4 linked regions of the Tamandua tetradactyla genome follow. The protein of the gene in region 2 interacts with the protein of the main gene of each other region in a biochemical or structural test. Links are inferred from orthologs where the notes say so. Each region holds a gene or a part of one and is shown on either strand. Other genes may lie near its edges. The genes, in order: BCL3, NFKB1, MAP3K8 and NOTCH1.

The links.
Region 1: the proteins of NFKB1 (region 2) and BCL3 form a complex in vitro, tested with the Homo sapiens proteins (2 studies listed by BioGRID). The link is inferred for Tamandua tetradactyla from reciprocal best matches to the Homo sapiens genes NFKB1 and BCL3.
Region 3: the proteins of NFKB1 (region 2) and MAP3K8 form a complex in vitro, tested with the Homo sapiens proteins (2 studies listed by BioGRID and IntAct, with this or other methods). The link is inferred for Tamandua tetradactyla from reciprocal best matches to the Homo sapiens genes NFKB1 and MAP3K8.
Region 4: the proteins of NFKB1 (region 2) and NOTCH1 form a complex in vitro, tested with the Homo sapiens proteins (2 studies listed by BioGRID). The link is inferred for Tamandua tetradactyla from reciprocal best matches to the Homo sapiens genes NFKB1 and NOTCH1.

Annotation. Positions count from the first base shown.
Region 1 is NC_135342.1:18,276,376-18,283,643, forward strand, and holds the start of BCL3 (B-cell lymphoma 3 protein), read right to left. Parts: upstream 3,008-7,268; 5' UTR 2,904-3,007; coding exon 2,648-2,903; intron 1,147-2,647; coding exon 993-1,146; intron 1-992. UniProt on the Homo sapiens protein: Contributes to the regulation of transcriptional activation of NF-kappa-B target genes. In the cytoplasm, inhibits the nuclear translocation of the NF-kappa-B p50 subunit.
Region 2 is NC_135350.1:21,621,230-21,628,192, forward strand, and holds the start of NFKB1 (nuclear factor NF-kappa-B p105 subunit), read right to left. Parts: upstream 3,022-6,963; 5' UTR 3,005-3,021; intron 2,679-3,004; exon of another isoform or gene 2,527-2,678; intron 1-2,526.
Region 3 is NC_135327.1:221,263,436-221,270,777, reverse strand, and holds the start of MAP3K8 (mitogen-activated protein kinase kinase kinase 8), read right to left. Parts: upstream 3,004-7,342; 5' UTR 2,661-3,003; intron 2,649-2,660; exon of another isoform or gene 2,253-2,648; intron 1-2,252.
Region 4 is NC_135328.1:126,089,931-126,097,471, reverse strand, and holds the start of NOTCH1 (neurogenic locus notch homolog protein 1), read left to right. Parts: upstream 1-4,529; 5' UTR 4,530-4,536; coding exon 4,537-4,594; intron 4,595-6,281; coding exon 6,282-6,363; intron 6,364-7,541. UniProt on the Homo sapiens protein: Functions as a receptor for membrane-bound ligands Jagged-1 (JAG1), Jagged-2 (JAG2) and Delta-1 (DLL1) to regulate cell-fate determination.

The sequences.
Region 1 (7,268 bases), on a different chromosome or scaffold from region 2:
CTCAAGTACTTTCTCCCACTTGGGCTCAAGGGGATAGCCCACAAACACCCATTGCCATGTATTGAGCATTTACTGTGTACTGCCCTATCGTCTGCACTAATGCACCAAATCCTAATTGTGATTTGCACTGTTATGAAGACCGATTTCCAGATGGGGAACTGAGGCTCACCCCCTCCAGAAATGGGTCTGCTCACTCCTACCTGAGTCTCCAAACCGACTTCTGCACCCTCACACACTTTGGTCCCTGTTTGACAGAGGGGCGAATCTGAGGCATGGACCAATGAGAAAGTGGCCCGCTGAGATTCAAACATAAGTTGGCAGAATACTAAGAACTGCAACGATCAAGTGTACTGAGTGCTTACTATGTGCTAGGCCCAGAGCTCAACCCCCTCTTGCAGGCTTTCATGGCAGCCTCAGAAAATGTTCCTCTAATTGTAGGTGATAAAGTATGGGGTTGGGAAATCAATCTGGGGAGCCTTCAGATTAGTTCAGTGGGTTGCAACAGTGAAATAATAGAAAAATATCAAAGTAGACCCCATCATCAGATATTGTTTGTTTCGTGCAGTTTTTCTTTCAAGTGTGTGTACACATCTTGTGCATATGTTTGTGTGCTGGATTTGATATAAAGTAATACTAATAAACACTTATCAACCAGCTACACTATGTTAGCAGCTTTACATGTATAACTTATATCATCAATCACTCAGTGCAATGCATTTCCCACTTTGGGGCTGTGATAAAACATTTGAAGCCCACTGCTCCTTAGTCCTGGGGGGATGCGCTCTCAGGTTGCCCATTTCTGAGGAGGAAACTGAGGCTCGGAGAGGGGCAAGTCCTTGCTCAGGATCACACAACCAGCAGTGGAGAGAGGATTACAGCTCGGGTCAACGTAACTTGAAAGCCCAAGCTGAGTGCCCCTGTATGTGGTGGGTGAGGTGGGTGGAAGGCTGTCCTCCCCACTCCCCTGTCCAATAGTGGGAGAGGTCACTCACGTGTCTCCGTCCTCATCTGCGTGGGTGGCCATGGCGATGTCAGCCGACAGGGGATGTTCCATTGAACACACCATGGGGTACAGGGGGGCAGGCAGGCTCAGCAGAGGAAAAGGGGAGCCCATGGTTGGGGTGGGGTACAGAGGCAGTAAAGGTCCTGAGCAGTGGAGAACAGAGAAAGGACACTGGTGAAGCCAGGCCTGGAGACCCTTAACCTATTGCCCACCTCTTGGCCTTCAATCCTGCAGAACTGCCTACCCTTCCTTGCAGGTCCCTTTGTATCAAGATAACCCCTGCCACGTCCTCCTCTGGCCTCCCACAGCCCATTTCCCCTTGCCCCCATCTGGTCACCCTCATTGTCACTTATCTTTCCATGTGCCTGACCCCCATCACCCGCCAAGGGAGCCCCCATCATCACCCATGGGGGGACCCCAGGATTTGTTTGATGAGTGAATTTGTGGCTGAGGGAGATGAGAAATAGATGGAGAGCTGGGCATAGTGAATGTGCAGAGGGTTTGAGGAGAGGGAAGGGTTGAAATGGGAGCAGGGGGTACAAGAAGCCGATTCAAATCCAGCTATTGGAAGAGACTGTGGCAGCAGTCACATCCATACCAGTGGGGAAAACTAAGGCCTGGGTACTCATCCAAGGGATGGGAAAAGTCAGTGTGGTGGTGGCAAGGCCTCCTGACTCACGGCTTGAGGCTCTCCCTCTGCTGCACTTGGAGGGGCTTGGAAGGTGCAGAAAGTGGATCAAGTTTTGGGGTTACTAAGCGTGGGCCCATTGCAGCTTCTGGGGCCATCTGGGGAGAGTGAGGTGAACACAGCTGTGGTCCAAGGGCTGCCCCTTTCATGAGATCAAGGATGGAAACGGGATGGGGAGAATGGTGGGTAACTTTCTCCAACATCCCCTGATCCTTGGTGGGGGGGGGAGGCTCATTCCTGGACTCCCCAAGTTCCAGGTCCCTGTGTCTCCAGTACCAGACCTTGGGGCCCTGGGATCTTCTGCCCAAAGTCCACTGACTCTCTCATCCTGGCCCTAAATCCTGAAATCCCAGAATTCTCTAGCCCTGCCACTCCATTCCTAGAATTCTCAGTCTGCAGACCTCCTAAGGCCACCTGCCCTTGTGACCCCTGATTGGCATCTCAGCTGAGTTTTTGTTCTCTTGACTCCTTGGGGCCCCCAGTTATTGGGTTCCTGGAACTCTTCCTTGGATCCCTGTGATCCCAGATATTGGGATGCTCAGAACTCCAAGCTCTATTGTCGTAATTCCCCATGTCCCCTGATTTTGACATCCTGGGACCCCTTCATAGCTGTCTCTTTAGTACCCCATTTGTGGTTCCCCTGACTGCCTCTGACCCCTACGTGGAACCCAGGAACCCCAGTTTCTTGGGTCCAGGCCCTGACTCCTCATAACCCTAAATTTCTGGGTCATGGAGATTTGTAATTCTGAGGCACCTATATCTGTGGCCTGGGACTTCAGGCTATGCCCTCAGCTCCCTGGGACCCCTGTATGTGTCCCTAGGACTCTGGGTCCTGTCCCCCTGTCTCCAGCTTCCTGGGACACCACATAACTGCGCCCAGGGTTCTGCCCCCTAGCTCTGGTGACCCTGTACCTTGTGCGGTTCCCACCCAGTCCTGACCCGCGGGGGCCACTCACCCTGGTAGTAAAGCGCCTCCGGCCGGGCCAGGCCGTGGGGGACCCCGGAAACGGCAGACGCGTCGGCGCCACCACACAGGGGCTCGGAGGGGAGGACAGGGCCTGCAGAGGCGCGGGGGGCGGCGGGTTCCGGGGAGGACGCGCGCAGCGGGCGCTTGCGGAGCGGCAGCGCGGCGCCGGGGGGTCCCGCGGCCTTGGGCCGGGTGCGCAGGTCCACGGGCCCCTCGTCCATGGCCCCCGCGGGGCATCGGGGCATGGGGCCGCCGGGGACGGCGGCCGAGCGGGCGGCCGGAGCGCTGCTCCGCTCAGTGGCACGGGAGGGTGGTTGCGCCGGGCGCCGGGACTTCCCCTGCCTCCCGCTGAACTGAAGGGACTTTTGTCGGCCGGGGCGGTGCCGGCCGGCCGCCTCCCCGCCCTCGACCGCCCCCCGCCCCCCCCTCCCGGGGCCACCCGTCCGCCCCAGGGGTTTCCTGGACCCGCCGCCGCTCCCGTCGCCGCGCAGTGCAGCCCGCCGCGCTCCGCCCTGGCCGCGCCCCGCGCCCGCCCCTCCCGGCGCCCCGGGCGGCTCACCCGGGTTGGGAGGCGGGGGCGGGGGTCCCCGCCCCTGCGGCAGCGGGCTTCGCTCAGCCTCGAGGCTCTTGTCCCTCGGGCTCTGTGTCTCCCTCTCTCGGTATCTCTCTGTAGCTGTGTCTCTCCTTGACGGAGATCTCTCCGGTCTGAACACGCATCACCCCGATTTCTCTGTCGCTCTACGTCTCACCGTCTCTACCTCTGTTGTCTGTTTGCATTTCTCACTCTCTCTCTGTCTCTTAGTTGCACTCTTCTCTGCCTATCCCCCCCCCCCGCCGGGAGGTAATTCTGGGAGAGCCTGGAGTCGCTGGACCTGGGTTCGAATCCCGCCGTTCACTTCCTCACTGTGTGAACTTGACTGGGCACTTCCCCTCTCTGGGCCGTTTCCTTCTCTGTGGGAGTGAGAAAACGCGCCCAGGGCCGGGGCTGGGGGTCGGCGGGCGCCCAGGAACTGTCCCTCCGCCTCCCCTGCCACCGTCTCTGCCTCTTCTCTATGCCTCTTTGACCAGGCCCGGGGTGCCCAGAGGGACAATGAATGTGATTCCTCCCCTCAGGCCCGGGGTGCCCAGAGGGACAATGAATGTGATTCCTCCCCTCCGGGTCACTGGGTGCTCGGAGAACGGTGGGTGTACTAAGAGAGGGACACGGAGATGGAGGCGCAGAGCTCTGGAGAGACAAAGGAAAGGGACACGGGAGAGAGAGATAGCAAGAGACCAAGAGACACATCAGCAGTGCGGGGACAGAACGACCAAGGCCAGGCTCCGGGGTGGGGGGGTGGCAGTCTGACCTCCTTCTTCTCCTCCACTTTCCCCTCCCCTCGGGGAGGGGTCGAAGCGTAGGGAACAGGCCCGGTGGGTTGGTGTTGGCGGCATGACTCAGACAGGCGGGAGCAGGCGAGGGGGAGGGGCAGGGGCGGGCCCCGTCCGCGTGGTCGCTCCTCCCCCTTCTCCCGCCCAGGGGGCGGGGCTCCTGCGGCCCGGGGCTTTCCCGGATTTCCCTGGGGGCGGGGCCGCCGCTGGGGTTGAGTCCGGGTCACTGAGTCACGGGAGGCGGAAGAAGGGCTATGCAAACCTGGGGGAGCCGGACAAGGGGTTCCGCACCCCAGAGCTGTCCGGACGGCACCCGGCGGGGTAGGGGTCTCCCTGCTTTGCTCCCTGAGACCCTGTCTGTCTGGACAACTCTGTCCTCTGTCCGTCTTCCCTTCTCCCTTTTCTCTCACTGTCCCTGATCAGGCTCAGCTTCTCTTTGTCCCTTTCTCCCGAACCCATGACATTGTCCTTTTGGCTCTCCATCTCTGCCTGATCGTTCTGTCTCCTGGCAGCGTCTCTCTGGGACCCGGAAGCGGGTGTGGGGCCCCGTCCACCAGGAAGAGACTTTGGCCTGGACGCGGGCCCCACCCCAGTGGATCATTAACCGGGATTGGGAGGAGCAGCTGGGGGCAGAGAGAGTCCCGGCGCCCTGGGCCTCTCTGTTATCCCCCCTTTGAAGCCCTGCAGTAGAGTGAAACATCTAGGGTCACAGACCTGGGTCCAAATCTCACTCCCACCCCTTGCTCACCTAGGGACCTTCAGCAAGCTATCCCCTCTCTCCTGGAAATGAGCCTCTTGAGCCCTGCCTCCCAGTATCCTATCGTGGGAGCTACAACGAAGGAAAGAGGAAGGAAGTGGGTTGGGAAGGGCTGGGCGTCCCGGCCCACCCAGCACTCACCTCTTAGAACCTTAAGCACAGGGGAGGGGCAGTGTGTGGAAGCTGAGGTTCAAACGGTTGGTGCTCAACAAGCTGGTGACCCTAAGACCCCCAATTCCTCCCACTCCCCATCACCTTGTGGCAGGTGGTGCAAAGGGCCTGGGGCTAGACAGAACTGGGGGGAGGGGGGCATGCACACCTGGCCCAGAGAGGCACTTTGAAGGGCTGGGAGAAAGGGTACTGATGGCTCAGAGTTTGAGGATGGAGGAGAGGATGAGGGATAAAAGGGTCTGAGGACAGAGGATCTGAAGGAGGAAGACAAGTCTGAGAACTTGATTGTCTGAGGGAGAGGGGAGAGAGCCTGATGGAGGGATTGGTGGAGAAGATGAGGGCCTGGGGGTCAGGGAAGAGGGACTGAGGGAGGAGGTCAGAATCTGAGGGAGGGGGCCAGGATCTGAGGAAGAAGGATCAGTCTGAGGAGAAGGACGAAGTAAGGAGGTCAGAAGTGCGAGAGAGTTGGGAGGAAAAGAGGGGTCTGAAAGAGAAGGAGACTTGGAGAGGGTCTGAGGGGGAAGGGCTTGATCTGAGGGGGGAGCAGCAGACTGAGGAGGGTCTCCTTGTGGCAGAGGGGGAAAGAGGCATGCCTGAGGAGCCAGCAGGGACTAGAGGGAGGGAAGGGAAGGCAGGCTGGGAGTCGGCCCCGCCCTGCTGCTCTCTGACTTCCCAGAATCTTCTGCTACTCAGGAAAGTCCCAGCTCCTGCACCACCTCCCTCCAGTGTCGGGAACGGAGGATGCGGAACCAGGATGGCTGTCCCCTCCTTTCCCCCCTCTCTCCTTGCACCCCAGGCAGGGAGGGCTGGGGTCTTCCCTCTCTGGGCCTTGAGCTCTGCAGCCCTCTCCTGCCTCCTGCCCACTGCTGGCGGGGGCAGCCCCTGGATGAGTCTGCAGAACTTCCTGAAGAAGGCCTGGAAGTCCTGCTTGGAGTCTGACCATTTTCCCTCATGCAGTTTGTTTCTCCTCCCAGCTGCCTCATCTTCCCTCACCCACATTCAACTCTCCCTGTGGGAGGAAGACCAGGAGTTTGCCCATTTGAGGTCCCAGTGGTAAAGGAAGTGCAAACTGAAACGCTGTGGGCATGGGGGCATCTCTCCTGCTCTTTGGGCCTTGGTTTCCTCTCCAAAGGAGAGGAAAAGGGCAGGGCGGCTCAGGCCCTTAATACCCATCGGCTCCATTCAGGGGCCTTCTGCTACTTTGCTTCAAACTGAGGCCTGGGTGCAAGTCCTGTGTCCTGCCCTGACTGGCTTTATGACTTCCAGGCAGTTACCTGCATGGAGCTTCAGCTTTCTTATCTATAAAACAGACCAAATAGAGAAAATTTGCTTCCCTCTATGGGGCCTGATGTGTAGAAAGTGCTCAGTGCAACGAAGCTACTACTTTTATCATTATTGTCAGTTAACCTAGGCTGCCAGCAGCAGGACCCACTTCACTAGGGTGATTAGGATTCAGTGTGCTGGGCTTAGAGACCTGAGGGTGCCATGTGCTAGCTATGTGACCTTGGGCTGGTGGCTTTCTCTCTCTGCCTTTGTTTTGCTTTCAATAGTTGGGGATGACAACAGCGCCTGCCTCAAAGCGCTGCTGAACAGACTGTGTGAGACCAGGTTTGTGCGATGGGAGAATGAATGAATGCCCCCCCCATCTGCCTTAACCTCACCCTGTGCATCAGGCTGGGGTCTTCTTGTCACCTTTATTTGTCCAGAGATGAGACAAGACCTGACCCAGTCAGCTCCCACTAGAAACTGGCCCACTTAATCCTCTCAACACCTCAGAAAATTCACCTAAAACCCCCATTTTATTGAGGTGGACACTGAGGCATAGGGAAGTGAAGTCCCTTCCTAGGGTCGAATGGTGAGGAACTGGGGGAGTTTTTTAATACAGGGCTCTGGACCCCAGGACTCTGGTTCAAACCTACTGAACTGGCAGGGGTGGTGATTAGTTCCAGAAACCATTAATTCTAGCCTCCTACTCCCTGGAGAGGAATGGTTTAGATGGAGAAACTGAGGCATGGGGCAGCAACCATGTGCCCAAGGGCATCTATGGGTTTTAGCCCAGTCCACACTCTTTCTGCTGCGTTTCTTCAACCCCAGGGAGGATCGAATGGGTAGAGAGGGGTCTCATTGCAGCAGGAGGGAATAAAGTTAGACTTCAGGTTAACTGATAGAGAAACCATCACCAGAACCTCCAGGGAGGTTCAGAGACAGCAAGTGAATTCCACAGATAGAGGCAAACAGAGGCTCTGGGCCTGGATGGGGAGGGACGTGCCTGAAGTCATACGGCCTCCCTTTTGGGATCAGGGCTGAAAAGTCC
Region 2 (6,963 bases):
TTTAAAAGACATACATTATAAATAAAATTAATGGAAATAAAAGCGTATTTTGGCAAAGGCTTTAAATTTCAAGGACAAGAAAAAATAATTCTAAAATAATCTTTTCGAAATAAAACATGTTACTATGAAACAAAAATCAGGCAGACTTGAAAATCTTCCTTCACATTACTAAATGTCAGCTTAAAACAGAATCTTTTATATAAAGAAAGGGAAAAACTGACTCAAGAATTCTATATCCAATCGTGTTTTTGTTCATCTCAAAGTAACAGGAAGACATTTTTTTTTACAGATAAGGGCTCAGAAAATTCATCATTAACCATGCTTTTTAGTAAAAAATTATTTTGAAGAGTATTTCAGCTGACTGTGAAGTTAATAAAATAAACTAAAGCATGGAAAAGTTATGCTATGAAAGCAATTATAGTATACATTGAACAAAGTCAAACATAGAAGTAGGTCTAATAATTGTTTCAAGTTTTGATTATAAAAAAGAACACAAATGTCAGAAATTGTTTTTAAAAAAGAATACTGTAAAATTATATATAAAACCAAATAACTATAACATGGGCATAAGTGTTCAGATAATATGAATAAAGACAACGAATTAGTGAGAAGAATGTGAATTGAGAGAAAGTAAAAACATGGGGAAATATTTCTTAGTATTATGTGAAAATGAAAAACAGAAAAGAATGATTTCTAAACCTTTAAGGGTACCAAGAGAACTTAAAACAGCCTTGCAATCTTCCAAATCTACAGAAGATAAAATCAACCAAAACAACAAATGACAGAAACAGAGGAAGCGGCATAAAAGTCATTAAAAAAAACAAAACAAAACCAGAAAGCATAACCCAAGATAGTACAAGACCAAACACTGGTTGTGATAATAAATATAAATTAGTTTTACTCCCCAATTAAAATGATAAAATTTTACCAAATAAGGTTTAAAAAGCAGTCTGTGTGCTGCTTTCAAGACAAGACATAAACCTGAAACAAAACAACAGAACGCAAAGTTTAAAAGAGAATAAATAAAAATTTGTAAGTCAAATTTTAAAAGAAGAGATAGAAGAATTGATTTGACAGAATAGATATAAGGGTCAAAACAATAAATAGTTAAAAAGAAGGTCCTGGGCAGGCCACGGTGGCTCAGCAGGCAAGACTGCTTGCCTGCCATGCCAGAGGACCCGGGTTTGATTCCCGGCACCTGCTCACGTCAAAAAATAATAATAATAATTAAAAAAAGTCCTTTTTGTCATGAATGTTACTCACAACAAAAAAGTTGTGACAACCTTTATACATTGAATAAAGTAGGATCAACATATTATGCCAAAATTATTAGGAGAACATGATAAATGTAGAAAAATGCTATCCTCACAGGAATCTTTAACAGCCTGATCCCAGGCTCTGAAAGACAGAGTGGCCAGTTACTATTTTTTGCCCCACATCCTTTCATCTGGGAACTGCCCCTTCCCCAAGCCATGAGAATGTTTTGGTGGTGTCCAATCAGGAGGTTGTTCGTTCACCACAGAACTGGGCACAGTTAGCACTGTTGGTGTCCCACTCAGATTTATTCGGAACCCTTTTTTACCAGTTCTATGAACCCATATGCACCTTTTGTGTGCTCTGCCACTGACGGTTTGTACCTAAGCCCTTCAGACGCTGACCCTTGGGCACTGGATAGCTTGACTTTGAGGACAGCTCAAAGCGACTGGGAGTTTTACGGTCCTGTAATCTCTCCCTACCTCAGCTTCTCTGGCAGAGGGACAAACTCGGAAGTGTAATTTGCACTCCACAGATTCCGTATGAGGCTTTGGAAACAGCTTGGCTACTTTCCTTCTCTATCCTGATTTCCCCATATCCTTAATGATTTCTTCTGAGAACATGTCCTTAATAAATCACTCTCGACTGAATCCTTGGCTCAAGATCTGCTTCTGTGGCATCGGACCTAAGATAGCGTATGACCTGAGCTGACCAATCAAAGTGGCGTCTCCTTCTAACCCCAGAGCCTTAGTTCCTGGGGTAGGTAATTTAGTAAACTATCAAGTCCTGATAGGCACGCACCCTGGGAGAAGGGGAGTCTACTTCTGTGAGTGCATGTAAGAACCATATAAACCTGGAATTCCAGGCCTGAGAAATGAAAATTGAAGCAAATAAACTAAGAGATGGAGAAAGTAAGACAGTACCAATGGCATCATTTGATTCCCTAGATCCAGCCTTTCCTGAAGCAGTTACATTTTAGAAATCCAGTTATATTAACAAACTAGTTCTTTTAATGTGCTATGCTAGTTTGAATTCTGTTTCTATTATTTACAGTGAAAAGATTCCAACAAAATAGTTCAAGCAGAAAAGAATAAATAAGGTTTCAAAGAATGAGAATAATATAATGGTGAGTTAATAGTGTATAATCTTTGGAAGTGAAATGGACTGTACTTCCTTTAAAAATAAATAGCATACAGACTTCGCCGACTCCTCCGCTCAGCGCTCCACGTGTCGCTTCCGGAGCTCCCTCCCCACCATGACCATCAGCCTTACCGGACGCCTGGGACCACCCGGGCAGCACTCGGGAGCGGAAATCTTTTCCTCTGACCCTCGCGCAGAGCCCGCGCTCGCCCCGTCACGGGCCCCAGCGCCCCTCGTGGATACAGGCAGCGCAACCGCAGGCGCCTCTGCCCTCCGGTGGTTCGGCGCCAGCTGCCAGCCCAGGGTTGGAACCCTGCCAAAACACTCCTCTTCCTGCGCTCACTCTCATCTTCTGCCAGATCCTGACGGTGGAGGAGGGAGTGCCAGCGACCCCGGCACCGGAGGACGCACCCAGCCCTGCGAGCCCCGGGCCCACTCTTGCGCCCCTGGTCCTGCAGTCCCGTAATCCGATCTCGGAGCCCTCCGACTGCGCTCTGGCCCGGCAGCACTTGCCTCCAGCACACCCAGCCGCCTTCTAGGCGGGACACGCGCGCCCCTTCCCTCCCGCCCCCAAAAGCAAACTGAAAATCCTGAGACACACCAGACGTACCTGGTGCGAGGGCGTCTCCCAAACTGGGACTTGATGGCAAATCAAACTCAGTACACAAAGCAGAGACGCCGGCGGATGCCTGGGGTGGATTTTAGGCTCTGACAAGCCTGGGCTAGGCCGAGAGGGGAAAAAGACCGTGTTAATTTATTTCGGGGAACAATACAGAGTAGATCAGCATGGCCCCTGCGCAAGGATGACACGCAAATTTGTGAAGCGTTCCATATTTTAAATTGATAGATCATGGTGGAAATGCATTTAAGGCTGATGGTGATAGATGTTACAGATCTTTTTTCCCTTGAAAATGTTTTTATCTAAATGATAACTTCACGTTTCATATACTGTTGCATGAATCCCAAAATAGGATGTTTCAGAAATAGAGATATTTTAAAGGTGGATATTTAAAAATTCTCTAGTTTTAACATATATTGAATGATATACTCTTTAAAACTGTTCAATTAACTAGTAGTGCAGTGCAGTGATTAGCATTGGGTATGCCTCCCTTTTATATCCTTGCAGTCTCCCGTTTACTCAGAAGTTTAATATTTTCACTTGCTGCTTTACCCCCACGCTTTATCTAACTTCATATAGAAGACTTGTCTAGAATATTGTATGTATTTTTACCTTGTTCCAGTGAATTGCATGCACTAATTTTAACCATAACTTTTTTGTTTGTTTGTTTCATGGGCAGGCTCTGGGAATGGAACCCTGGTCTCTAGCTCAGCAGGCAAGAGTTCTTGCCACGGAGCCACTTTTGCACCGCCCACAAGTATCATTCTTATTTTGACTAAATGTTCTTGTTAAAATTCTGTCCTATATGAGCATTAATTAAATTATTTTATTATAAATAAATTTATAACTTATTGTGAATTATTATTTTGTAATTGTATGTAATTTGCCTTTGTAAAGATCAGAGTCTTTAGGGCTATGTGAAGTATAGATAAACTGTTTGAACTCTAATAGTTTGGAAGAATAGGTATCTTCTACTCAGACAATAGAAAAATATTTCTCAGATAGGAAAGAGAATGAGGACAAATGGAGGAGACGTCATCACAGGAGTTCCCTTTAGAGAACTTTATGCTTTGTCTCAGAATCAGAGCTCTGGGAAAAGGCATCTGCCTAAAGAGGTAAACACTGTGCCCAGAGTGCCAATGATTTAGGATGGTGTGAGGCAGCCCAGTGGTCCTTGTTCTCTTTAAGCATGGCGTGGGAGAAGTGCTGGGAGCTGCCAGAGATGAAGGGGCCATTGCCACAGGAACTAGTACATCTCAGTCTCACCTTGTCTGGGTTGATGACATACAAGGGGTGAGGACCAGTCTGAACGATGAATGTCTCAGCCGGTCAGTGCCTATGTGGCTGACCGAATGAGAAGCAGATGTCCTGTGTCTCACCTTGGCCCCACATAAGCCACCCCAGTGAAAGGGGAGAAGAGAGCCCCAAATTGACTGACCTCTGATGGAATGAGGACTTGTAATAGATTTTTTAAAGTTGATTTGTAGGGAAATAAACTGGATTGTATTTCTGATGCATTTGAGTTGGTGACTAAAATTCAAATGTACTACACTTCTTATTAACATTTGTGTGATGTGGTCAAGCATTCTTAAGAAAGCAGAACTTTCCTTCTTCAACTCTAATACTTTGTGATGGTTGATTTCATGTGGGAACTTGCCTAGGATATGGTATCCAGTGGTCTGGTCAAGCACTGTCCTTTTTGCTTCTGTGAAGGTTATTTTGTAGATCGGCTTTGTGGATATAATCCTTTGATTGCCTCCAAGATCAACAAAGGCAATTGCTCTCAGCAAAGTGGGGAGTCTTCTCATACGATCAGTTGGAGGTCTTAAAAGCCAAGATATCAGAGATTAGAAGAGGAATTTGGACTCAATTTCAGCCTCCCCTGGTGAATTTGGACTAAAGACTCCAGTATCACCTTTATCAGAGTTTCCAGTTTGAAGTATGCCTGCAGTTATGTGCGCCAATTCCTTATAATAAATCCCCAGGATTTATATTATATATATAGATTATATACATGTCTGAACTGACATGCAAGGCTTTTTGTTGCCTTGTTGCAAAATCCTATTTTAGGGTGAAAAAAACCCGATAATACCCTAGTCTTTCCCTTTGCAATTTCATTTGTAATCCAGACAAATAGTTATTTAGAGAAAACTAAGATGAAAATCATGTGTCTGAAAAGAGTAAAAGAGATAAATACACTGATAATTTGAAAATGGAAAGAGTCTTTTTACAGAAATTATACATCGAATATACGAATACATTTTGCCTTAATTATGTGTGTTTTATGTCCACTTTCTCACTTCTGATTTGGAAGTGGAGGGCATTAGACAACTCTCTTTTTATGGATTTGGGAAATGTCCATATATTCTGTTACCTATCACATAGTCAAGATAGGTGAAGTTAATTGAAGAATGAAGTAGAAGGTGTGTTGAAATATATTCCCATTTCCTTTGGGATGGACTGGTTTTGGTTCAGAGGGTGGGAGAATTTGTTATATACCCTATCTTTCTGCATTGCAACTGGTTTTTGAGAAAATCCCATTCCTAATTTGTCATAAGATCTTCTGCAACTATTGCCATTTTTAAAAAGATCTATGTTCATGGACATTTTAATGGAGAGTTGGGAAAAAGCATATTATGAACATCTAATTTGTTTCCTAAAGTCCATGAAAAATATCTTTTAAATTTCCTTATTGTTATACACAAACATAGAAGTACTTTTTATCTCTCTATTTTTAATATTTAACTGACATAAGAAGTTTTACCTGCATTTCATATTGTCACAAGAATGGATGTGTTGCAGTATTTCATTTTCATTTTCCCACTTGCTTTTTAAAATACTTCTTCTGCTCTAAACATTTTCTTCCCTTTCTAAACTACTAGGTATATAGATGTTAGTATTATCTCTTTTTAAGCATATTATAAATGTGTGCGAAGCTGAGCCAGAACAATAGCAAGTAACAAAATGTGGCTGAATGCAATTTGTAGCTTACATGACTCATGTTTAGCACTATAACATTTTAAATTAAAAGTAAAAGAAGGAAGACATCGAAACCAAATCTTTAAAATTCTCATTATATATTTAAATTTCTTTGACTATAGCTATGAATATTTCAAAATAATCCTTAAATTTAAAAAATATATAAATATACTTGATTGAATTCTTTACGTTGTCTCATGTTGTGTAAAAACATTGGATTGTGTTATCTCTATGTATCCCTTCTAGCTTGAAATTTCCCCTTTGAATGGTGGATTTTTTAAAATCCACCAAATTCACAAACTTGTGCAAGTTTTCCTGGGAAATTATATATAACAATTACCAAGTCTATTCTTTAGGACTTTGAGTCATTCCAAACCATGTGTGATTCACTATTTGTTCATCTTCTTGATAAGGTGCAAAAATAAGGGAGGCTTTACCCAAGAATCCATGCTAATATTTTGATGTGTGTTGCTAATAAAATTGTTACACACAGATAAGATAGAATTTTATAGGAAAAGATAAATAGTAAGGCTTTGAATCAGTGTATTTTCAAGTCCTAACGAGTATAACTCATGAGGCCACTTAAAAAATTAATGAAGGGTCTCTTTTCTAAACTACTCTAATTTGTGATTTAAAACATTGATACTCATATAGTGAGCATCTCTCTGAGTAGGAGCACAGAGAAAGAGTCCAGTTAGGGATAAGAAGGAAAGCCTTTAAAATGTAACACTGATCTGGCCTTGTGGCAACTAGGATAATCATATGTTGTTACTCTGAAACCTTGCTCAGAGAGAATCACGTTATTCCTGATTGTCTGTTTGCCAGGTTTGTCTTGCTTCTATTTCCCAGACTTCACAGCTATTACATTTTTAATGATTTTCCCTGGAGAAAAGCATTAGAAGCAAAAATAGAACTCCTAGAGGTTGGTGAAGTAAGAGTTGCCCTGGGAAGAAACTCTCACAGTAGTGGGA
Region 3 (7,342 bases), on a different chromosome or scaffold from region 2:
GTCAAACCTTAGACCAGTCCCTCTGTATCTCAATGTCCCCATCCGTAAAACAGCACCTGCCTGGGAAGGCAGGCATGAGGCTTCAATCAGCCAATGTACGTAAGGGCCTCAGGGCAGGTCTGGTAGCTGTCAATAAGCTGTGTGACTTCTAGGGGTTATTTCTGCATGCACAAAAGAGCAGCACTGGGGGTACATGGGTGGTTCAGTGCTAGAATGCTCATTCGCCGTGCAGGAGACTGGGGTTCGATTCGTAGTTTCATATTCCCCCTCCCCCATCCCCCCAAAAAAGAGCAGCCCTGAGTCAGGTTCCTGTGTGTGCAGATGCGGCTTTAGGCCTCTTTTCTTATCTGCACATGGGATGTGGCTACCTTCTTCCCCACCCTCACGACAGTGAGGTTGCAAAGAGAAACCTATGACATGCTTTGAGGGTTGTTATCGGCAGTTTCATCTAGACTGGCAGGCGTGCGCTCCCCTAGACACTGGTGGCCTTTGAGGGAGATTGTGATTCAGGCCCTGGGACTCTGGTGAGTTCTGAGAGAACTGCTTAAGAACATGGGGGAACACGGAACTTGGTTTCACCTAGCCTTTAGTTGCAGTTTCTGTTAGGAGAATTTTGACTTGGGGGTGGGTAGAATAGGACTTAAAAACAGCTCAGTTTAGAATCCCATTAGCTGAAAAATTCGAAGGCTCCTGGACTCTGTTGTCAAATGAATGGCTTGAGAGTAAAGAAAGTTTCCTGTACTGATAAGAGAAAGAGAAGAAAAATTCCACCCGGTTTACAATTAATCAGCTGATCCAGAGAAGAAAGGCAAGTTTTGGTTTCCAAATCCTGCAGAAGGTCTCAAGCATTTCTACGAACAGCCTAAGATGTTAAACACACACAACCCCCCTGAGCTTCCAGTTGGAAGGCGATGGGGGGAGAGGCCAGGGGATAGAGAGTGGATGTTTGCCTGGCATTCTCCCTTGCCAACGCAGAGGTCTGCTCCTGCAAATCAGTGCCACCCCCTACCCCCCGACCCCGTGGCCCTGAGCACCCATCTCCCTGCTAAAGGCTCAGCAAAAAGCAGGAGCAGCAGTTTCCGGACTTAATGAAGGAGACAATCTGCTAAATGATTTCTGAGTTATTCCTGATCAGTACCCCTTTAGAAAAAGCACGGCTTGGGAAAGTATTCTTGTTTAGCAATGGCCTCCTAGCCACTCCCAAAGAATGCAGTTTTCAACACAAATCTTCATAAAATTTCAACTTCTTAATACAGTAGCCAATGACTCCAATTTTAGAAATAGAAAGTTCTGCAAATATAGGCAAAATTGTTTGCTTCCCATTATTTCAGAAATCAGTAATAAAATCAAGAGGAAATCCTAGTCCTAAACATTAATAAGATACTTCTAGCTACTTTCATCTACCATAAACAAATGTTGAGTTTCCTGGCAAGTGTGAATGAAACCGGCCAGGATTACAGGCACAGACTCCTGCCTCACAGAGGACGATTATGCAGTCCTGTTACTTCCCATTTAAAAGGTTTTTCTGCCAAAATAGTACATTGCCCCTCAGGGCACGTCTCAGAATTTTCTTCTCAATAATGAGTCTTCTCCGCTGACAGAAGCACTGCCCGTCTGCATCTAAACCTCTAGACACTTAAACCATCCGATTTTCCTTAATTGACAGGTTTCTTAATGGCCAGAAGCAGCGCACACAAAACTCAATCCTTCCGGGAGCTGGGGCCGAAGGGGCTCGTACCACAGGCATGTAAAGCAATGCAGGCGCGTTTCTTTCCCTGCTTTATCTCGGAGCAATTCTTCATTCTGGACCTATGGACCTAAACCTCCCTTTTCAAAAGCATTAAAGCTCAGCATCGCAATCTTTCGCATAAAGAAACTCGTGGCCGTCCCAGGTTAACCCTTGGGACCAGCCCAGGCTGCCTTCTAATAGTCTTTCGCCCAAAATTACAAGGATTTCTGGAGTCCTGACAAAGCATTGCCCCTGGAAATAACTTTGTTTTTCCTAATATTCTCTCTTAGGCCAAAGGCCCCATACTCCTGCTCTGCTATAACCGCCCTTTAGGCACAGTATAGAGTTTGGTACATAGGCACGAAATTCATTTTCAGCAGCTCGAAAAGCAATCTGCACAGCCGATTCCCATCCCCATTCGCTTCTACCGGGTCCCGAAAGTCAGGGGCCTTTAAGGGGTTGTAAATTGCAAATGCACCCACTGCTTGGCAGCCAGGTGCTCGGGTCTCCGAGGTCCACTCACCTGGGGCTCGGCCAGGAATAGTGCAGTTGCCCCGGCGGGCCCCGAGGCAGAGACGCGGTGACAGCGGGCCCCTGCTTCCCCCGCGCGCTGCCCAGACCAGCACTGCCCTGGCGCTGGAGATCCGGGAAGGAGAAGGAAGGGGGAGGAGCCGCAAATCGGCACCCCGTGAGACCCTTGCGCAAGGTGCTTTCCAGCGGTGCCCGGCTGCAGCCCGCGACCCGCGCGCAGGACGGAAGCGCAGCTGCCAGGGGACCAGGCACGCCCCCACCTCCCCGCGCTCCGGAGAGCTCCCCTCTGCTGGGGGTAGGGGTGAGGGTGGCGGGGTAGCCTCTAGTTCAAGGTGGGGACCCCCGAGCACCCAGGAGGGCGCCACCACAAAGACTCCCCAAGCTCGGAACTCTGGGTTACCTGTTGCCTCTGTGCAGCCCCCCGACGGCTCAGCGCCCCGCTGGCGGCCGATCCTCCCGAGTGGGGCGCGCCGGGGCACCCAGATCCGGCGGAGGCAGATGGGAGAGCCCGGGCCTCGGGTCCCCGAGCGTGGCGCGACTTCTAGAGCGTGGCGGGCGAGTGAACCCCGGGCCGCCTCCGCCGCCCGCGTGGGCCCCTGACTCACAGCGTCTGAACAGGCGGGGGGGCGGTGCCGCCAGCTCCAGCCGCCACCTCCCCGCGTTTTCCATTTCCCCTTTCTCTCCGTAAACAGAAAGCGACTCCTCGGTGACACGGGAAGCGGGAGCCCCCGCTTTTGGGAAATTCCGGCCTTTCCCCCGCCCTCCCCCCCCCCCATTGCCCGCGGAGCGCCGGGGCGGAGTTGAAGGCGGGGACAGGGGAGGGGCGGATCACCGGGGCTTTGGGGGCCAGGGGACAGAGGAGGAAGCGCCGGCCAGAGCTGGAGTCGGGAATTACCGAACTGTTGGGGGAGGGAGGCGGGAGGAACTGTTCGGGGGACGGAGAAAGCAACTGCGCGGCTGCAGAAGGGCCTCGGACACCAAATGCCTCTTACCCGGAACTTGGGAACCGGGAAACCTGGTCTCTGAGTGCGTCCTAATGCCGGAGCAGGACCCAAGGCGAGCGCGCCTCCCCGCCATGTCCTGGTCTCCTCCAAGGAGAATCGCGTTTCCTAGCGGGCTCGCTCCCTCTGCGCTCCTCGGACGTCCCAGGCCCCCACGGCTCCTTGAGTTCGGGTCAGGGGTCCCCAAACACTGAATGCCCTGATCCGTGGTCCGCACGCACGGACTGCAGTTGAACAAACATTGGGGAGAGGCTGCAGCGGGCTGGCCCGGGGCCTGGGCTGGAGCTCCGGGAAATGTGCGTGCGCGGCGGGGGGCTGGGAGGGGTGTCTCAGGCAGTGTGTATTAACTGGATTTGCTCTTTCCAGTCCGTATTGGAACTTGCTTTCTGCACATTACGAAACTTACCTGTTCTGATCTCCTCACCTGGCTGCGAATCTGGGATTCTAGCCCTAATTGGAAAGCAGGGCAAAGTTCGTTTTGTAGTGTTCTTCCTGTTTTGAGTGGAAGTGTTTAGTTCAGGTGAGGTGGAAGGAAACAGCGCCTCTCTCCCTGAAATCCACTCTGCGGGGCATTCCCAGCGCGCACTTAGCTGCACTTAGCTGCGCCCCTGGCCATTCCGCCAAGTCTCAAGCACCCACTTAGGGGGTCACTTTGCAAGACTGCCCGGAGAACGAGAGAACGTAAGGTAGCTACAGTCTCCAACCTACAACCCCGACGTGGGCCGTCCGGGGCAGAGCCCAGGCTCAAACGTGTGTGACTCCGAGGTTTGCTTCCCAGTCCCCCCCTCCCGAGCTCATTCTCCCTCCCGCAGCTTCAGAACGGTATGGGGCCCGCACTGATGGCCCCATCTCTCGCGTGGAGACCGAAGCACAGGGTTTATTACAGAGGCCCAAAGAAGTCAGAGGAGAATTGCCCGCCGACCTAGGCTAGCCGAGGTGAGAAGCGAGGCCCTTGCTGTAGTACCTTAAATCGCATCTTTTGTTTTCCGGTAAAGAAGGGACCGGGATGCTGACAAAGTTAATTGACCGTCCTCTTAGCCTGTCAATGACAGCGAGTCCAATTAGCAAATAAAACGGCGAGACCAAGTGACTTGGCACTTAAATCATCCCGGACTTTATTATAAATGCGGAGGGGGGTGAGTGGCAGGACAGGAGCAGCACAGTTACCATCCCCTCGAGCCGTCCAGATTGCCCCGGGTGCCTGGAAGAGAAACCCTTCTTCGGGGACTTGCTCTTTCTGGTCTTGGGGGGATGGGGCTGGAGGGGGACAGTCCGCGCGTACCCGTCGGCTGGTACGCGCGGACTCGGTGGAATGGGTGACTGGCTCAGAAGTGAATTAACCTTCTCGCTCTCGGCTGAAGCTGAAGCTTTTCTCTGGAAGCCAGGTGGGGAGAGGTTGTCACCTCTCACTGTAGCGTGAGAGACCGAGATGGCTCTTCCTCATCTGTCAGTTTTTGTTCAAAATGTGAGCTTTTAAAACCTGTTAAAAATGGAAACAGAGCCGCTCCCGCCCCTTTCCCCTTTGAATGAGCTCATTAAACCACACCTAATCTTCTGGGAACTAAGTGGTAGGCTTACTTCCTTCATAGAGGGCTCCCAAATGAAGTTGCGTTCCAGGGAGTGGACGAAATGGCTAGTTTCTCAGGATTCTTGCCAGCTGCAGGAGACTTATGCAATGGTAAATTTCACCCCCTGGAGGGGGGGCGGGCGGCGGGGGCCAGTATTAGGACTAAGTTTTACTCAGTAAAGTTTTTTTTTAATTCAACTTCACAACATACAAACACAAGCATTCTTAACATATGACCATTCCATTTTTGATATGTAATCAATAACTCAAATATCATCACATAGTTGTATATTCGTCATCGTGATAATTTCTTAGAGCATTTGTCTCAATTCAGAAAAAGAAATAAAAATAAAAAAGAAAAAAATTCATATATACTATACCCCTTACCCCTCCCTTTCATTGATCACTAGCATTTCAATCTACTAAATTTATTTTAACATTTGTTCTCCGTATTACTTCTTTATTTTTGATCCATATGCTTTACTCATCTGTCCATAAGGTAGATAAAAGGAGCATCAGACACAAGGTTTTCACAATCGCACAGTCAGTGCGACAGCTGTATCCTTGTACAATCATCTTCAAGAAACTTGGCCACTGGAACACAGCTCTACATTTTCAGGCACTTCCCTCCAACCTCTCCATTATGCCTTAACTAAAAAGATGATATCCGTTTAATATGTAAGAATAACCTCCAGGATAACCTCGCGACTCTGTTTGGAATCTCTCGGCCACTGACGCTTTATTTTTTCTCATTTCTCTCTTTCCCCTTTTGGTCGAGAAGGTTTTCTCAATCCCTTGATGCTGAGTCCCAGCTCATCCTAGGATTTCTGTCCCACGTTGCCAGGAAGGTCCACATTCCCGAGAGTCATGTCCCATGTACAGAGGGCGAGAGCAGTGAGTTTGCTTGTGGTGTTGGCCGAAAGAGAGAGGCCACATCACTCAGTAAAGCTTAATAAAGATTGAACCTGGGACCCTGAAAAGAGAGAACAACTGAAAAAAGAAAATGTGTGTGTACTCATGGCACTTTTCTTGTTCAGGCCCCTGTAAAACAAACTTACAAAACTAATCCTCCTCTTCTAGGAAACTGGCTAGCAAACTGATGTTTTTAACCTCGGGCAAGAGCATGCACTCAAAGTCCCTAGAAGGTACATTGCAAATCAGCTCTCTGGAAGCTGTATGCATCCAACAAAAAGCACCTTGAAAACGGTTTGCATCACTTGCAGTTTGCTGGAAGAGGGCTTCTCCACTCACACATTTGGATAATGATGGGTTGTCATCTAGAGGTTGGAAATCAGAGCTCATTTTCTCATAGAAAATTATAGCCAATGGTGGACTGCCAAGTCAGCCCACCCATTTGGGACCTATATTAACAGGTAAAGTATATAATAGGGCACTGCTTTCCAGTCTTTTTCATGGCCACATAAAATATTGTTTTGCTCAGGATACTGGATAAACAAATAAATTGGGGGATGCCTACATGTGGCTTTTAAATTTATGATGAAACTAAAATACAAAGTATTCAAGGAAGATAATTAAGTACTGAATTTGTATAAAGCTTCAAATAAGCTTTTTAAATTATATTAAAAATAATAATGCCAATGGTGGCTCAGCAGGAATTCTCACCTGCCATGCTGGAGACCCGGGTTCGATTCCAGGTGCCTGCCCATGTAATAATAATAAAAATAATAATGCTGATTTCATGAGCATAGTTTTTTCTATATGTGTTTATGTTGCAACAGCTGTATCTACTTACTAATTAAGATATTTGAGTGTTGATGTAGATGAGAAACTGTACAGGCATATAAGTATTAAATTTAAAACTTGCTGTAATTTTTAAAATTTGTAAGTAGTTGAAATTGTATTTTTTTTTAAATCCAATAGCTATTCTTTTTCTTTCATTGACATGTAAGTTTCTTATGATACTGGGTGGATTTCAATTATAATTGAACTTTTAATATTACGTGTTTCAAAATTCCAGAGCTTTAATTTGCTGAGCATGCATGCATTGTTAGAGCAGTCACTCTGCAATGAGTTTGGACCCTGCTAAAAAGGTACATCAGCCCCAAAAGGATGAACTGTCCAACAGAGGTGGAGATCCAGGATTCCCCACCTCCATCCCCAGCAATGGGAGCACCAGTGAGCCTGTCTGGTGCTTGCAGCCCCCTCCACCCCAAGCCCTGCCAACTACCCTCGCACCTGAAACGCAAACTCTTTCCCTAGGAAGATCTGGGCCCCTGTCCTTGTTGGGTAGCAGCTTCTGCAGCTACTGGGTGATGGAGGTCCTACTCAGAGCCATTCACCATCTTAAAATGGATCCAGGATGTCCCTCAGACCTGTGGGGATCCCAAGTGCAACATTAGGTTCTATCCTGCACCCGCTGCTGTTTAGGACATCCCAGAGGAGTTGGTAGAGGCAACAGCCCCTAGAATGGAGAATTTCAGCCCTGCCTCCCCCAGCTGCTTGATGGATAAAAGGGTGAATATCGGAATGCATTCACAAGCATCTGTGTGCAAG
Region 4 (7,541 bases), on a different chromosome or scaffold from region 2:
GCAGGGATCTGTGCTCTGAGCATCCACCTGCAGGTAGGCGGGTGGCCACGGCCATGGGCTATTGGGACAGCCCAGGTGGCCAGGCCTCCCTCGGCAGCAGTCCCACTTCTTGGATGGATGGTGCCACATCAGCCATGGGATGGGCCGGGGGCTGCACCCAAAGCCCAGTGCCAGCTGGGCCTGTCTGCTCAGCCGCTGGGGGGGCCGGGGATTGGGCCGGGTACATGCCTGGGCAACACACCTCGCAGGTGTCTGCACCCAGGGAGCCTTCTGGGCCATGGTGCAGGGTCCATGGAGGGTATGGGCTGGCCAGCCAGGAGTTAGGGCCCCGCTTGCTTGGTGGACTTGCACGGGGAGACCAGGGTCTCGGACCCTGTGTCCTCTTCCTGCGGGCTGTCCGTCAGTCATCTGGTCGGTGAACAAACCTTCCGGAAGCATCCATGGTGGGTGCTGGGGACCAGGCAGACACCAGCCCGGCCCTGCCCTGCTTTCAGGGGCTCACACCTTTGAGGAGTCAGGCAGGGACAAACGGGGGGGGCTCATTTCAGGTGGAGGACACCAGTTATGCCAAGCTTGGAGGCAAGAGAGAGGGGACAGACGGAATCCAGCCTGCCCTGGTGGGTGCAGAGCCCCAGGGGCCTCCTCCAGCACTGTGGGGTCCTCTAAGGACATGTGGTGGGTGGGCAACTGGGCTGAGTGGGCCTCTACATAGGAGAGGGGGAGGGGACAGGGAATCAAAACCAAGGCCCAGTCTGACCCCTCTCCACTCTCAGAAGGCGGGAGAAGCCCTCCTAGGTGGCCTGATCCCCTACTGGTACGAACCCACCCTCAGGAAGCAGCAGAGAGGAGCTGGCCGACACCCACCATCATGCCCTCCTTGCACGGCGACAAGCCTTGCCGTCCAGGGTCTGGCAGAGGTGGACTGGGTGCTGAGTCGTGACCCATCCCTCTGCATTAATGCCCCACGGCCACCAGAAGCAACTTATTCTGTGACAGCCGGCCCTCAGGGAAACGCTTGAGGTGGTTTCAAAGTGGAAAAAGGCAGCCAGGACTTTAGAAGGCATTCGATAGACAGGGAAACTGAGGCCCAGGGGTCAAAAGTGCCTAGGGTTGGCCAGCTGGTCAGCAGTGGTATCCAGAATAGAGCCCAGTGCTCTGGCTCCAGCTTTGCAAGCACGTCACAGAGTCTTTTACCATCAACTTAAAAAGACAGAGGGCTCCCACCCTTTAGTATTCTGGAATTCCCCCATACCCTTGGAGCTAGCTCCAACCCCGAAGGTCAGGCCAGTTCCCCAGCCTCAGGCCGTACTTTCCTGTGCCCTAAATCGAACAATGTGAGCCAGAGGACAGGTGTCCCCAGAAGCGTTATCAGTGCACACAGCCCACTGCAGCCTTCAGGGGCCCCTGCCCTAGCGGTCGGATGCTGCTGAAGAACTGGGCCTGGCCAGCCCTGAGAAGGCACTGAGCCTCGGCTTCCTCACCTGAGATGAGAAATGGGGAGACACATGCCTCCTCCCCCTTCCAGGGCTGCCCCCTAGGCTCCTAGTGAAAGAAAAGGGGCCTTACCCTTTTTTCTCAGCCCTGGCTGCACCTTGGAATTTCCTGGGAAGCTTCTGATACCACTGGCACCCCCACCCCCCACCCGCAAACCAGGCTAGAGCCAGTTTGGTCTGAGTTAAGGTTGCTGAATCCGGGCTGAGTATACAGCAGTCGCTCCAGAAATGCCTCTTTATTTACCTTGGGATGTATTCTGACCTCAGAAGGACTTGTGGATGGCATGGGGGACAGGGATGGGGTGTGCTTTGGGGGACAGGAATGGCCCAAGGTCAGCAGGGCCTCCCCAGCTCAGCCTGAAGGCAGCAGCCCTGTATCTGGGGGGCCTGTAGAAGAGGGTGGCTGCCAGACACCCCAGGCATCCCTCTGCACCCAGACCCCATGGCTTCCCCTCCCTTCCACCCCCCACAGGTTCTAGGACTCCAGTCACTCGGGGTCTGTCCAGGGGGTGTCCCTGGGAACCTTGTCCTGACTCCCACCATGGAAGCCGCTTCATGATCTGGAGGGGTTGCAGCCCCCGTTTAGCCTCTTGCAGACCCACCAATGTCCCCCCACGGGGTTCTGGAGCGGCCAAGCTGTGCTGGGTTTATCCTTAGCCCCCCAAAACCCGCTCCCCGGGGCTTCCTCGGGCTGCCTGCCCTGTTGGAGAAGTTTCAACAGGCTGTCCTGGCCTTACCCCAGCTTGGTCAGGATCCCCATTCCCCACGCCACCCAAGACCCCTGGATAAGGAGGGACCAGGACCAGGGAGGCCAGAATTCTCTGGCCTCATTTGTGAATAAAAAAGCTTAACATCCACTTGTCAGGGCCAGGCCCACCCCCTTCCCAGGCCCAGAGGGGAACCCCACCCCCCATCTACCTTGGCTATATTCCCTCTCCAGCTTCAGGCACTTGCACTTCTCCCTTTCCTGGGATGCCCCCACCCCCAGCTGTCTTTGGGAACCCCCCAGGGGACCACAGAGCCCTGGCAGCCGAGTAACCTGTGCACTCAGCTTTATCCCTGGTGAGCATCAAGTGTCTGTTCTCTTCCGGCTGGTGAGGCCCAGAAGGAAGGGGCTGTGGGTACACCTGGGCTCACACCAGAGAGGGACTCTGGTCCAGTGCTCCCCTGCTCCCAGCCATAGCCAGACTTCAGATGGGAGAGAACTCACTTCAAAGCCAGGGCTGGAGGTGCTTTGCCTTTCGGCCTGGGGCTCTCTGGGTGGAGTGGCAGGGATGGGGTGAGCAATGTGTGCCCAGAGTCCTGAGCCTGTGAATGGGGGGTAGGGGACAGGAAAGGGGTCTGTGCAGCACTGTTCTTCCTTCTAGGGGAAAATCTGTACCAGGCTGCCCAGCAGTCGGGCTGCTGTGATATAAACATTCCAGCTGCCTCCAGGCTCCTCCTCTCCGGGGCACTGCCCCGGGGAAGTTACCAGGCGCCCTGAGAGTGCAGCCACCTCCTGGAAGGAGGCAGCAAGGAAGGCTTCCCTCAGCAGCTGCCAGGGCCTGGGATGGCTGCCCGGGGTACTTGGGGCAGGGTGTCAGCTGCTGCCACTGTCCGGCAACAGGTGTGCCCTGAGCAGCGGTGAAATGCCGCACCACCAGGCGCCTCTCCAAGCAAGGGCCGCCTCCTCCGGAAGCCTCCGGGATTTCTGCGGTCCCGCGGCGTCTGGTGTTCATCGTGCTCGGCCGGGCCAGTTCCCGCTCGGCCTTTAGCCTCAGCTGGGGCCTCGTTTCCTCCAGAAAGGAAGCCAGGGCCAGGGCTGGGTTGCTGCGCCTCCAGCCATTGCACTCACCCCCTGTGTCGTGATGGGGTGGTGGGCGGCTGCCTGTCCGTGGCACTCGTTCTTGAACTTTGGTTATGCCGGCATCCTGGACGCCTAGTGCTCAAACGGGCTTGGCACAGGATGCCCTAGGAGAAGGAACCCGCCCGGAAGGAGCACGTGGGAGGGGCCGAGTTGGCGCCGGCGCTGGGTCTGCGCGGCCCTGGCGGGGTTTCCGGGGCCACCTGAGGCAGGGGGTGGCGGGGACAGTTTGAGGGCAGTGACGAAGGAGCATTGAGTTCAGCGGGGCCCTGCTTGGGCGAGCAGATGCACTCTCCACGCCGCAAGGCAGTGGCCCTGGGCTCTTCCCTCGAGGCGCCCAAAATCTTCACCACAGAGGCCCAGGGCGCGGCACCACCTTCGTTCAGGGTCAGGTGGTACGGTCTTTACTACCAGGACGTCTGGTGTCGGTGCCCGGTCCCCCAGGGTTTAAAGCCGCTGCCCTTGGGCACCCGCGAAAGGAGCCACGCGGTTCCGCGCGCACCCACGGACGCGGAGGGCGCGACTCCTCTCCGAGCCTCGGTCCCGGGATCTCCCAAACTTGGCCTCGGCCGCCTCTGGTCCCGAACCCAGCGCCTCTCCGGGAACGGCTCCCGCGCCTCCCCTGCCATTGAGATGCAAATGTCTCAATTGGCACCCAGAGAGGACGCCACCAGAAGGGATCCTTCCGCGGCCCGGGGCCAAACTTTGGGCCTCGGGAAACTTTCGAACGAGAAGTAGTCCCAGCGCTAGCCCGACCTCCCTCCGGACGCCCTGGCGCCCTGTTTCAGCCTGGGAGACCCTGGTTCCCTCCGGCGTGTCCAGCCCGAGTGGGCGCGGGGCCCGTCCCGGGCGCAAGGGGCGCGGGCGCGGAAGGATTGGCGGGGCGGGGCCCCGAGGCGGGGCCGGGGGCGTGGCGCGCGTCGGGGGCGGAGTGCACGGCCGCCCCGCGCCTCACTAGTGCCTCGGCTGCGGGAGGGAGCGCAGGGCCGCGGGGTGCGGGGCGCGGGGCGCCGGAAAGCGGAGGGCCCGGCGGAGAGCCGATCCGGCAGCTGGGAGACCGCGGGATCGCAACGCCCTCCCGCCGGCCGGGAAGGAGAGGAGGAGCCGCCCGTGGGACCCTCCGGAGTCAGAGTGCGCCCCAGCCCGGCCGGCCCCGCGCAGGAGGCCGCCCCGGGCGCAGCGGGCAGCCGGCGGGCAGGCATGCCGCCCCTGGCGCCGCTGCTCTGCCTGGCGCTGCTGCCCGCACTCACCGCACGAGGTGAGCGTCCGCGCCACGGGGCCCCACGACTTGCAGCGCCCTTGCAAACTTTGGCGGCTACCCGAGTCCGCGCTCCGGGCTGCGGAGGAGGGTACTGGGAGGCTCGAAGCAGCGGGGTACCCGGGAGGGGGACGGTGGGGGTGAGGGATCGGGAGTTCTGGGCACGGGAGAGAGGCGAACATCACCCCCCTCCCGATCGGGGAGGACCCGCGCTCTCTGACCCTGGGGACTGCGCCTGGAGCCGGCTTTGGAACCAGGTTTGAAGCCGGCTTTGAAGCCGGGTGTGGCGGGCCAGGGGCCCGGGCCCTTGGTCGCGTCCTAAACCAGCTACGCGTGGGTCTCGCAGCCGGGGCGGGCGGGCTGCCTACGACTTTTCGATTTGAATCGAGTCGGGCTCGGTTTCCTGTTGCTCCTCCGGGCCATTTATCTTCTTTCTTCTCCACCTTCCCGCGCGGAGTGCGGGGTCCGGGGCTCTGCGTTCACTTTGGCAAACCCTCGCCGCCGAATCGGCTTCCTGACCCTTTAGGAAAGCCGGCGCAGGGCCGCCGCGGGGCTGCGGGGTACACTCACTCCCTTGGCTCCATCAGTCCCCCCACCCCCCCACCCCATGACCACCCCCGGCCCTGCTCACAAACTTCTCGGTGAAGGGTGAGGGTGAGGGTGAGGGGCGGTGGGTGTGCAGAGCCTCAGCTGCTCCAGGATAGGACTGGTTTTCGCTTTGTAGAGTTCACATTTGGGGATTTTGAGAGGGGGGGTCGGTGGAGGGGGCACTAATTCCTCTCCCTTCCTCCCGGGAATCTAGTGCGGGTTAATTCCTCTCTTTCTCAAAAAGCTGGAGGCAAGAGTTTTCTTCTTCCAGAAAGCAGAGTTCCATGTCTTTGCGGCTGCTGCCCCAACAGAGGGACTCCTCTTACCCTGTCCTGCTAAGATGCGGAGGGAGGGGCTTCATTGATTGGTCCCTTCCCAGAAGTGGCGTTGAATTCTTTTCCAAACGGGGGCTGTTCACCCCACTCCCTGGGTGTGTTCGGGGGCAGCCCCTGGAGATGGCCCTCCTGCCGGAGCAGGTATTGGGTGTCCGAAAGGCGGGGCCAGGTCTGGGGTTGGGGGCTGCGGGTGCAGTCCCCCAGGCCCCAGGAGGCGGCCCAACCCGACAATGAGCTGCTCTGATTCTGCGGCCGGGGCTTTGTTGGCGGGCGGGGCTCCGCAGCTGTCGCATTTTCCCACGAGCAGGGAGCTGAGTTTGGCCGTCCCCTGGCCCACTGCCCCCCTCGCCAGGGTGTTTGAACAGCGAGCCAATGGCAATGGCTGAGTGTGGGCCCCCTGCCCAAGCCGGCGGGGCTGCCTGATGAAGAATGGGGTGGGGGGGGCACACAAAGTTTGGGAGAATGTCCCTAGGTTATCTCGGCTCTACTCCGCAGCAGCCCAGGTGGTCTCCCCCACGCCGGGCACCACCCCATCCACCTGCCAACCTGCCCCCTTCCCCATTTCCCCATCCAGCTCACTGGGCTGAGTGCTGAAGCCCTTGAATTTCCTGTAGTGGGTGGGTGGAGGGGCAGTCCCGATGTTCCCTGACCCCGATGTCAGGGTGGGCTGTCTGTCGGTCTCCAGAGGTGGGTGGCTTGGGGAGGGGAGGGCCTGGGACTCAAGGCGCAGGCCACGCTGACCTCTCGTCTCTACCTCTCCCCAGGCCTGCGCTGTTCCCAGCCCGGGGAGTCCTGCCTGAACGGCGGCAAGTGTGAAGTGTTGGCCAACGGCACGGAGGCCTGTGTGTGAGTATGCGCCCCGCGGGACCTGTTGCTTAGTCGGGAGCGGGAGCCCCTGCCCGCTGTGGCGCTGGGGACAGAACACTGGCCCATTGTCTTGCGGAGATGGCCCAGAAGGCTGGGCGTGGTCACGTGCTGACTTTTATTGGACAAAGTCTGGCAATTACTTAATCACCAGTAATTATGCTGCATTCGAAGCAGGAGCTGAAGCAGGTCTGGCCGCTGGGTTCCAGCACTCCCGTTTCGAGGCAGGCTTACCGGGGCTCTCAGTGGGAATCTCCTGCACCCTGTTTCTTCCTGAAGTCTCCAGTGGGCCTGCCCCGGGGCTCAGGGCCAGTGACAGGGGGGCCCAGTTCCCACCGCCTTTTACCTGGAGAGCACCTCCTTGGGGCAGGTGGTGCCTCCTCTGGGCAGGTGAGCGCCTCCTGTGCAGGTGAGCCTCTCATCAGGATATTGACTATTTCAAAACCAAACCCAACTGGCTGGGCTGTCTGCCTCTCCAAGTTCATTCCTTCCTCGCTTCAGGGTGAGGCTGGGGAGAGGGCTCGAGCCCCTTGGCCTCCCTTTCTCCCGGCACGGGGGTGGGGTGGGGGGAGTCTGCCTTCCCTTTGGCGTCTGCCTTCCCTTTGACTCCCACCTCCCCATTGCCGAGGCCCGCCGGCCCCCACCCTGGCCTCGGTTTCCCCGGCTGCAGATTGGGCACAGGTGCAGTGCAGTCTGCAGCCCCATCCTGACGCCCATAGGAAATCTGTTCAGAAGGGCACTGTCTGTGACAGCCGTTCGGCCTCGGCCAAGTGTCTGCTCTGGGCCAGTGCCCTTCAACTTGAGTTCTTCCCTGATGAGAAGGACGAGCAGATCTTGGTGGCTGCAGGAAAAAGTCCCTTCCTCCCTGCCTCGGGAGACTGCCCATGAAGAAGTGGCTCTTGGCTGAGCCGACTGCCCTCGTTCCAACTGTCGAGGGGCCCCTTACCCCGGCCAGTCCCCAGCCCCCTGCTCGGGCTCTGCCCCGCTCTGGCTGCCCAGCCTGTTGGCGTGCTACCTCCACCCCCTTCGGCCCCCCACCCTCCTTGAACTCAAGCCAATTAAGCAGGCCTGGAGCAGTGCCCCTTTGTCCGTCTCTAATGAATGCACACTACTTTTTTTTTTTTTTTTTTGCTTTTTGGGGCCTTTTTCTCCCCCAGCAG